Drosophila melanogaster: one gene and its partner. The protein of the gene in region 1 interacts with the protein of each later gene in a pairwise test. Each region holds a gene or a part of one and is shown on either strand. Other genes may lie near its edges.

What was found. Proteins that work in one complex are often made in the same cells at the same time.
Region 2: the proteins of spn-F (region 1) and CG14556 interact in a two-hybrid assay, tested with the Drosophila melanogaster proteins (one large-scale study listed by BioGRID).

Annotation. Positions count from the first base shown.
Region 1 is NT_033777.3:31,252,743-31,257,491, reverse strand, and holds spn-F (spn-F), read right to left. Parts: upstream 2,366-4,749; 5' UTR 2,250-2,365; coding exon 1,523-2,249; intron 1,455-1,522; coding exon 1,087-1,454; coding exon of another isoform or gene 1,051-1,086; 3' UTR 833-1,050; downstream 1-832. Other genes in the region: CG1750 (uncharacterized protein), read left to right, coding at 2,638-2,813, 2,869-3,193, 3,251-3,413, 3,469-3,833; mRpL32 (mitochondrial ribosomal protein L32), read right to left, coding at 3,875-4,137, 4,194-4,433, 4,489-4,573. UniProt on the Drosophila melanogaster protein: Plays a role in oocyte axis determination and microtubule organization during oogenesis. Also required for polarized organization of the bristle. Required, with jvl, for activation of the kinase IKKepsilon in the germ line.
Region 2 is NT_033777.3:26,124,349-26,128,847, reverse strand, and holds CG14556 (uncharacterized protein), read right to left. Parts: upstream 2,190-4,499; 5' UTR 2,122-2,189; coding exon 1,117-2,121; 3' UTR 980-1,116; downstream 1-979. Other genes in the region: Cipc (clock interacting protein circadian), read right to left, coding at 4,191-4,374.

The sequences.
Region 1 (4,749 bases):
TCGACACCTAAGTGGCGCGTGATTAGCCCCAAACGGTAGCAACAAGTGGCAGACTAATTGCAGCGCTGGGTTTTCGAAATGATAAATGGATGGATCGCAATATATAGACCATGAGAGCTAGGAAAACCCAGTATTAGTTGGAAATGCGGAAAAGATCTAACAAAAGTTGCTTGAACTCTTACAAATTCTATGCACATTGGTTGGTGAATGGGTGGGGTTACCAGTTATACGACTTGTAGATAAGCACCAGATTTGATAATTTGTTTCATTATCTGAGCATTTCATAGTAACGTAATAAAGTATCCACGGGAGCTGCCACGTGCCTGTGTCTTAAAAATATTTATTTATCAAACTTATTAGCATAGGCAAATTAAAATGTTTCCTTAAGCTAAATTCCTGCTGCGACCCACTCCAAATGCATTAAAAGAAAGTTAGCTCTGAGCATTTGCATTTGTATTGCTATCAATGGCAAATCTTATGGTCAATATTTTGGCAAATATTCGCATTGAATGACTGGATCAGCCCGATTAGGCACACGTTGCCAGTCGGGTTTCGACTACGTCATAGCCAAAAAAACAGGGAAATCCTCTGACCAGTTACAGCATAATGGCCTCAAGCCAAACTTCTTTGTCGAATGTTCCACTCTTCCCCCAAAGTGTGTGACTCACAGAAAAGCTGCCAATTAGATCGGATAATGACCACAAGCGATGGTAACATCGATCGTCATCTTTGATATTACAATATTTGTCAGCGCTAATAATATAATATTTATGTTGTCCACGGTCCACGATTTCACTTTCCAACCAACCGAAGAGAGCGCTCAACATGTTTTCAGGCTTTTCATTTAAACTGTATTTCGTATTCGGTCACTTACATCTATATATTCATGCACTCTCCGCAATTATAATACAATATATATATATTTTTTCTTAAAGTTCAATGTTGTATAGTTTTGATACATGATCGCCCTAACGTCTTATCAATAGAAACGTAACAAGCGGCTCCTGCGCAGTCAAACTGCTCCTTAATCCTTGGATTTCTCCGGTCAGGTCAGAGTTCGGTGGCGAAATAAATGCGCCTACTGGGTCAGAAGTCACCCACAGCATGGGAAACGAACTCAAACTGGCGCTCAATGCTGTTCTCCGACTCCAGTTCCAGTGCATCGTCGATGAAGTGCATCTCGACGTGCTCGCGGAACGCATTGAAGGACACTTGGCTGGAGTACTGCTTGCCGCACATAGGGCAGGTCTTCTCCATTGCGTCGGCTGCATCTGCTTTGATTTTCTCTTGTATTATGTTAATTCTCTGGCTGGGCGGCGTGCCATTGTGTCCATTGTGTTGGCTCTCATAGTTCTTCAGCTCGCTGGTCAGGCTGTCGTCCGTTTCCAGACTTTTGTCGGCCATCTCCGGTTTTTTGATGGTTTTCTGGGCACATTCCGGACAGGGCTTGAGTGCTGCTTGCACATAAAACAGGCGTTAAAAGTTATTTTTTTTATAGCATGAATTCCATTTTGTTGCTTACCTATGCGATTTTCTAGCAGAGTCATTACCGATCTGAGCTCCTGCTGCTGCTTCATGGCCTCTCGCCTCAGCTCCTGCAGTCCATCCAAACATCTTTTGGCATCCACATTGGCATCTGGTTCACTAGTGGTTTCCTCCACCTTTTGCAGGTTGTAGGGGTAACCTAGTTCCTCACTGCTGGCACCGAAGTCATCCAGGGCTATTTCCTCCAGACTGAGATCCTTAATGCCGTCGGAGAGCATCTTTTGGCGAAGGTGAGGATTGGGGGAGTGCTGCGTAAAGGTCTTGGAGCGCACCAGGTTCTGGTTTTGCTGGGCTCGCGAGTCTGTTGAGCTGGGCAGTGCGTTCAGCTGCTGATCCTTGGAGATCTGCGATAGGCGGGACCAGAGCCGTCTGTTCTCGTTGGATACCATGCCAATGTGCTCCTCCAGCTGCTCCTTTTGGCGCTGCAGCTCAGAGACCTGTGCTTTCAGAGAGAGGACGTCCCCAGTGACCCCGATTTCGTTTGCCCTTGGAGCACCTTCCGACCTGCTGGAGGCCTCCCTTAGCTGCTGGTTCTCCTCCTCCATGCTGGCCACGCGGCGCTGCAGCTGGATGCACCGCTCCTTGATCGTCTGCAGCGCCACTTGCAGTGCGTAGTTCATTTTTTCACTGGAGGGGGAGTTTGTGGATCCGGAAGCGGACATGGAACTGGCCATAGGCGTGATTTTGGCAGCAGATGCCTCCATTCTGCAGTATTGGAGTTCCTTGGCACTTGATCCCAAAAATATACGTTTTCCTGTAGATGTTTGATTTTCCAAATTTTTATTGCGTTCTCATTAGTATGACCGTGCGATGAACTTAAAAAAATAATATACACTATACCGATAGTCTATAGTCACTGAAGACAGATAAATAAAAGTAAAGTAATGTATTGAGCTAAGTTTAATTACTTAAACAAAAATAACGACTCTTGATCTTATAAAGTTAGACCACCATTTACATGGTTGAAGACGATAGGTTCAACAGGTTTCACTCTATCTCAGCATTCCTATTACGTTATTTGGTAGAGTGACCAGCTGGTATCGCGAACAGCTGTTTTTGTTTACGCTGCATTATTATCCAACAAATTTTCCGATGTTTTGCGGCAAGAGTTTAGTCAATAATTTTTACAAATATAAGAGAAAAGTGTGGCAGAATGTAATCCCAATTGCACAGCGCTGCAAGGGAACTTACCACCCTCCAAAAATTCTCTTTTTCGGTACCGACAATTTTTCCTTGCCCAGCTTACAGGCGCTACACAAAAACTGCGGGTAAAATGTTTTAAACAATAATGTTAAATTGGATTAATAAGAATATTTTTCTTAGTGATCGTTTGGGAGTTGTTACCTCCTTCAAAAGTCCCGCCAACTGTGTGAGGACCTACGCGGAAAAGGAGAAGCTTCCCCTGCAAAAGTGGCCCATAGATCCTTCTGTGTGTCCGCAATTTGATCTGGGTGTGGTGGTCTCCTTTGGCCACCTGATTCCTGGTAGTATCATCAATGGATTTCCTTATGGGATGATCAATGTTCACGCTAGTTTGTTACCCAAATGGCGGGGAGCTGCTCCCATCATATACGCCATCATGAAGGGAGATGCCAGCACTGGAGTTTCCATCATGAAAATCGAACCTCACCGGTTCGATATCGGTGATGTAAGTTCATTCTTATCTTACCATTGTATGCAGTAGTATTGACGACTTATGCTTTAGATTTTAGCTCAGCGAGAAGTGGCTATTAATCCCGATGTCTTCATGCCGGATCTGCATGCATCTTTGGCGTCGCTAGGAGCCGAGTTACTTGTGGATACTATTAACAACCTATCAGTAAGACTTAAGGAAGCCAAACCCCAAGATAGTTCAAGGGTCAGCTATGGTAAAGCATATCTAAGCACTTCGAGAACCTATATAAACTATATTTTTGCCTTCAGCTCCCAAGATTACCAGTAAAATCACAGAAATTATCTGGTCCGAGCTGAGTGCCATTGAAATATACACTCGTCATCGAGCTTTGTATGGCTACAAAAACCTTACAACCAACTTTTTGGGCAAGCAAGTGCAGTTGCTGGAGTTGCGATTACCGGAGAAGAGAGTTCCCGTCCAAGAACCTGGTGCCATCAGCTACCTAAGGAAGTCGAGATCCCTCATAATCGGATGTGCTCAGCAGAGTCAGTTGGAAGTGCTTCAGTTACGCGTGGAAGGTAGAAAACCTATGAGTGCCCAGGACTTTAACAACGGATTCCTGAAGCAAGCAAGGTCCTTATCCTTCACAGAGAATAAAATAGCATCGATTTGATAACGAACGTGTGGATTTAATGCACAATGGATGCTTAGTATCTAGGCCAAGTCGGAGGGCTTGACTTCCTTGGTTTCGGACAGCTGCTGCGTGGATTTTTGGAGCAGATTCTTGGTGAACCACATGGGACGAGGCTTCTTCATCTCCACGATGCGCTTGTTTTTCAGATCATCTGTGGACTGTTCGGCCTTCTCGCCTTCATAAAGAACGATTACTTCCTTGTCCACGGGATCTAGACCGAGTGTCTCCTGGATTTTCGACTGCATGAGCTCAGTCTCCTTCAGGACCTTTTGGTAGCAGAAGGCTGGAAGAGCAACATTAAAGGTGGCTACCTCTTTGTATACTTTTAAGGCTACTTACGACAAAGAACTCCCATCTCGTGGTCATGGCCACATTGCAGACAGGAGCGGAGGTTTCTCTTCTCCCTCAAAGGCTTCCAGTTGTATTCCGGATATCCGAACTTCCGCTTCAGGCGTTTCTCCACGGATCTTCTGTGCTTCGGAACAGCCCACAGCAATCCGTCGCCAATAAGCTGCTTCAAACTGAATTCCTGGGAGGATTTAGGGCTGTGATCATGCTGAAAACCGGCCAACGCTAAAGCTGTGTAAAAAGTGGGTAAGTCAGGGTAACTTTATCTTGGGCTGGTGCTTCTCACCAGGAGGGTGTCCTCCATGTGGCAGGAACAAGCTCTCTAAGTTCCTAATAAAGTTTGTAATTGATAAAAACAAATTTCTAGACATCTTGTTGCTGCTCTTCTGAAATTTACGTAAACGTGATTAGAGATGCGCAAGAGGAAACAGCTGTGCTATCGATATGTTTATAGAAAAACGTAAGTAAGGCACAAAATAGATGTAAAAATGTTAATTCAAAAAAGAGCAATAAAAATGGTGTAACTACTTTTAAAATAATGTCAGCA
Region 2 (4,499 bases), 5.1 Mb from region 1:
GTAATTCGCAGCTCAAAGCTCGTGAGCGAACTCAGGCAATTTAATAACATGACCTCGTTTTTATACATTGTCTACAAATTGTTGCACGTAAGCGAAATACAATGATTTTAACCCATTTAATGAAGTTTAAAATTAAACTCGTTTCCTGATTTAGAAAAAAAAAAACTAAAAGCACAGCGATTTTCCGAGCCCACGGTGCAGTTGTGTGGTCAAGTGCTTAGCTAATCAGTCGATGTCTACAACATTGTCTGTGTGCATGTGTCTCTGTGTGGGTATCTGGTATGTAAATGTGGTCATCGCGTGTGGGCAAAAAACGTGACCAGCACCAGGGTTAAGCGTTCCGGCGACGACAACGCTTTTTGCACCAATTAGCAGTCGCAACGCTCATTGCAAACATCAGCTGTTGAAAGTCACGAAAAATGAAACACAACCAAAAATATATAAAGCTAAATGTGCCTTACATATAGAAAATGAAATGTAGGTCATACAAACAAAAATATTTCTGCAATTAAAAAATGTAATGAACAAAGAATATATTATAATTTTCATTAGCTGGCTCTACACAATTCATTTGGAATAAGCATGTACACATAAAGTTACAATTCTCTAATGAATATGTATACCTCATATCTGTATGTAAGCGCATAATTCCTGCACACAACGATTGGAAATAGACTGTGTCTATGGTCAGGGTCATGACGCATCTCCTAGAAGTTTACGCTGCACATGGCACTGCACCCGAGGAATCGCTAAAATTGGAACGAAGTCGTTGTCAGGTTGGCCAAATAGAGCTTACGTGATAACGACACCTTGCCCCAGTGCAGCGAAACGTGAGATTGGCTCCGTGAAGGTAGCAGCCAACTAATGACGCCCTCGTGAAAGGTGAAAGGAAATGAGAGAAAGTCGATGACGTATTGTGCGAAGCGGGCTAACACATCATCAGGGACTTCCTGCGCCAGAAACATTTTACGTCCATTTTACGTAATTTATTTTTATTGTTTTTAATACGAAGACCGATTTATATATTTTTATTATTAGTAATTTTTGGTCGAAATAATGGTGCTAATATGAAATATTTCCCTTAACAATAAATAAAGCTATTTTAATGATCAAATTCTAATTGGCGCTGTCTTCAAGTTTCATTTGTGACTTCCGGAACTCATCGGATAGTCTAACCGTCACAGTCAAGGATGATAGAAACTCTTCTGGATCATCAAGAAAATTCGAATGCCGTGATTCGAAAACAGCCATATTCCGATCCAGTTCCTTGTGCAATTCACTCATTAGATTCACAAGATCCTTGACCTCGCCATTGAAATCAGCGATTTCGCGCTTTAGACGACTTTTGGAAAGGCAAGCTGCATTTTGTTTAAGGAATCGTGTGGTGTGAGCGTGGTCTAGTTTTTTTGCATCCGCTTTGGACATCTTGGCATTGACAAGGTAATTGTATCGCTCCTGGCACAACTTCAGTTCCTTGGAAACTTCGCTGGACCAAGCTACATACTTAACGGCTTCAGAATTTAAATCTATAAGATTGCCTTCCATGCAGCGAATCCTTTCGCGCATTTGGTGGATGATTTCGCGGAGTTTCCTATACCTGCAGATCAGTTCGTCTATTTGCAATTGAATGCGATTGTGGGCCTGACGAAGACTCCTGGCTTCCAGCAATTCATTGCCGCACAAAGGTTGGTTATTCGGACAAATGGCTACAGACTTTTCCTTAATCTTAATGTCGATTCCTTGGTTTTTCCGCTGTTTGCACTTTACTTGAGCACCGGCTTCTATTTCTATTTCAGCAGTTTCTTCGCTAATTTCTTCGCTGCACTTCTTAACTTGACGCTTCCTAATCGCTATTTGCATAAGCTCAATCTGTCGAATCAGGCAGTCAATATCGTGTGCCATTTTCACTGGTCGATCATCAGACTGCTCTGAACGATCGAGAATATCCATTTCTTCCTCCTCACCTCCATCATATGAGAAACTGACCTTCTCATCGACGTCGAAGATTTCTAAAACACTTTTTCCACATTTCGAAGTTCGGGATATGAGATCCATTTCGTTTAATGGCATCTTTGCACATTTAGCAATTTCCCCCAAACTTTTAACGTTTTCAAGTTCCATGACTAAGAAAGAACTCTGTTCCTGTTTTGTACTTTAATTTTCATGCGAGTGAAATCAAAAATCTCCTACTACTATGGTTGACAGTTAGTAACTTCATTTGAATTAAAATGGGTTTCTCGTAAAAAACTAACTAATGAAACTAATCGAGTTTTTCGCTTGCGCCTTGGGCTTGGAATAAAAAATTGCAGTTGCTCAACAGAAATTTAAGTTATCTAAAAGATACTTCAATATTAAGAACAAACTATTTACTTAACCCATTTTAAAACCACACTGATAGTGTGTATCTAACATTGGGCTGTATCTAACTTCTATTCACACACTTTAAAAGTACTGGAGTTCTCTTGCCTCGTCATCGCCGCGCCATTGCACGTGCCTCGCTTCGTTCTCTGTGAATTAGTCACCGGTGATGCTAAAATGGAAATAAAATGTTAAATACCTTCAGTGATGGCAGAGGGCGAGGGCATTGGCCAACATTCCAACCCTCCGGCTGCCACGCCCCTTTCGAACGCCGCCTCCCCAGGGAAGGCTGACGAGTTTGGGGGGTTTTGAATTTGTAGCGTCATGAGGCTTGCACGTGGCCTCGTCACACCCATTTTTATTTAAGGCTTGTGTCGGTGTATTTCTTTCAGTTTATTTTTATGTGTTGCTGCAAATTAGCAGGCAGCAACGAGCACAAATAAAAAGGCAGCAACAACAGTGGTGCTTTCAATGAATTCACTTTGGAAATGGCACCAGCAGCAAAGAGAAAAAAAATAGCAAACTTGGCTAAAAGCAAGCGAAGTAAATGTGCAAAACATGTAAATAAAGCTCCGGCAAAAGTGGCACAGCAGCAATAACAACACTGGAGGTTATGACACACACTTATGTGGAAGCCCCGCAGGCCGACGCCCCTGGCTACGTGTGCTTGTGAAATATTTCTTGGAAAATATCTAAGAAAATGTTCGGGCAATTGCACTTGGCTAATGAGTAATCAGTGGGCATCATTTGACTGGGATGTGTAAAATATTCTAAAGACTCTGCAAGTATCTTTTAAATTTCTTTCTAATTGTTGCTCTAAATTTGAGCAATGATCTCCAGAACGCGGTTTGTTGTCTGTTTAATCTCGAATTAATCTTAATAATAATCCATATATTTTAAATCGACTTGATCTGAAAATTTCTATTTTTAGATACTTGATAAACTGTCTTGCCTTCTCGCCTGCTACTCGATACCCATTGCATCCCACTGAGCCCATATCCATTTCGGTGGCAGTCATGCGGCATTAGATCGCTTATATAAATGTGTCAGCCAGATTTGCGAGCCGAGTCTGTCTTACCCAACAGCCAATGCCGGCGGAAGAGCAGCTGGAGCCAATTGCTGACGCAAATTGTTGTGGCATAACACCAAACTCGCGTGCCTTCCATGGAGCAACATTGGCAGTATTAGCATCAATGAAACACCGGAGACCAACACGTGAAGAACCCGATGCGAACCCAATTGTGAACCCATCGCAAAACGCCCATCGCCCATCGCCCATGGCACGTGCATTTGAGCATTCCAGTTCTCTAGTCGAGCCACACATATGCATGGTTATATGGCAATGAGGAAGTGGGAAACGAGGACAGACCTCCGAGAACGGAGGTGGGTGGCCGAGTTTACATAAATTAATTAAACATGACCGAGTAACGTGAGCAGCTCGGCAACTGGCAACTGGGAAATGGACTTGTAACAGTCACAACACCAACGACATCAGCAAATCAGCAGGGGATTCTGAATATAAAGGGTATACCAAAAAAAAAAAATAAAGTAAAACAGATAAGAGACAAGGCGGATATTGCAATGAATATGTAAGGCTATGTTACGTATACGCCGCGTGCGCCCACCGCAAGCTATTGGCACTGAACAAAATTGACTTAAGCTTCTATATATGATAAATTATAAATGAGAGATAGATTTAATTGCGCTTAAATTAATTAAAATTTGAATGTAATACAGTCGTGTGAAACTAATAAAATAAGAATATTAAACCTAACGCGAACTATTGTATTTTCGCTACTACATTTTACTGAGTAATCTCAGTGTTTACTCACCATGGTTGAGCACCGAACTAGCTTGTGTGGCGGCAGCTGCAGATGTGGATCCCACGGACAAGGACGAGGACGATGATGCGGTGGATGCGGTTGCGGATGCTGATGAAATGGCGGCTGTGGCCACGCCATGATGTCGCCGCGTTTCGCGCAGCTGCTTTTTCTCCGAGCATATGGTGGGCGCCATCTTCTTGAGTCTTCTTTTATTTGGCAGCGTGTATTCACACTGAAAGCAAATGAAAGTAGAAGCACAAATTAATTAGCCGCCGCGTTGATTAATTGATAAAACGTTTTAGTGCGTAATTAAGCTGC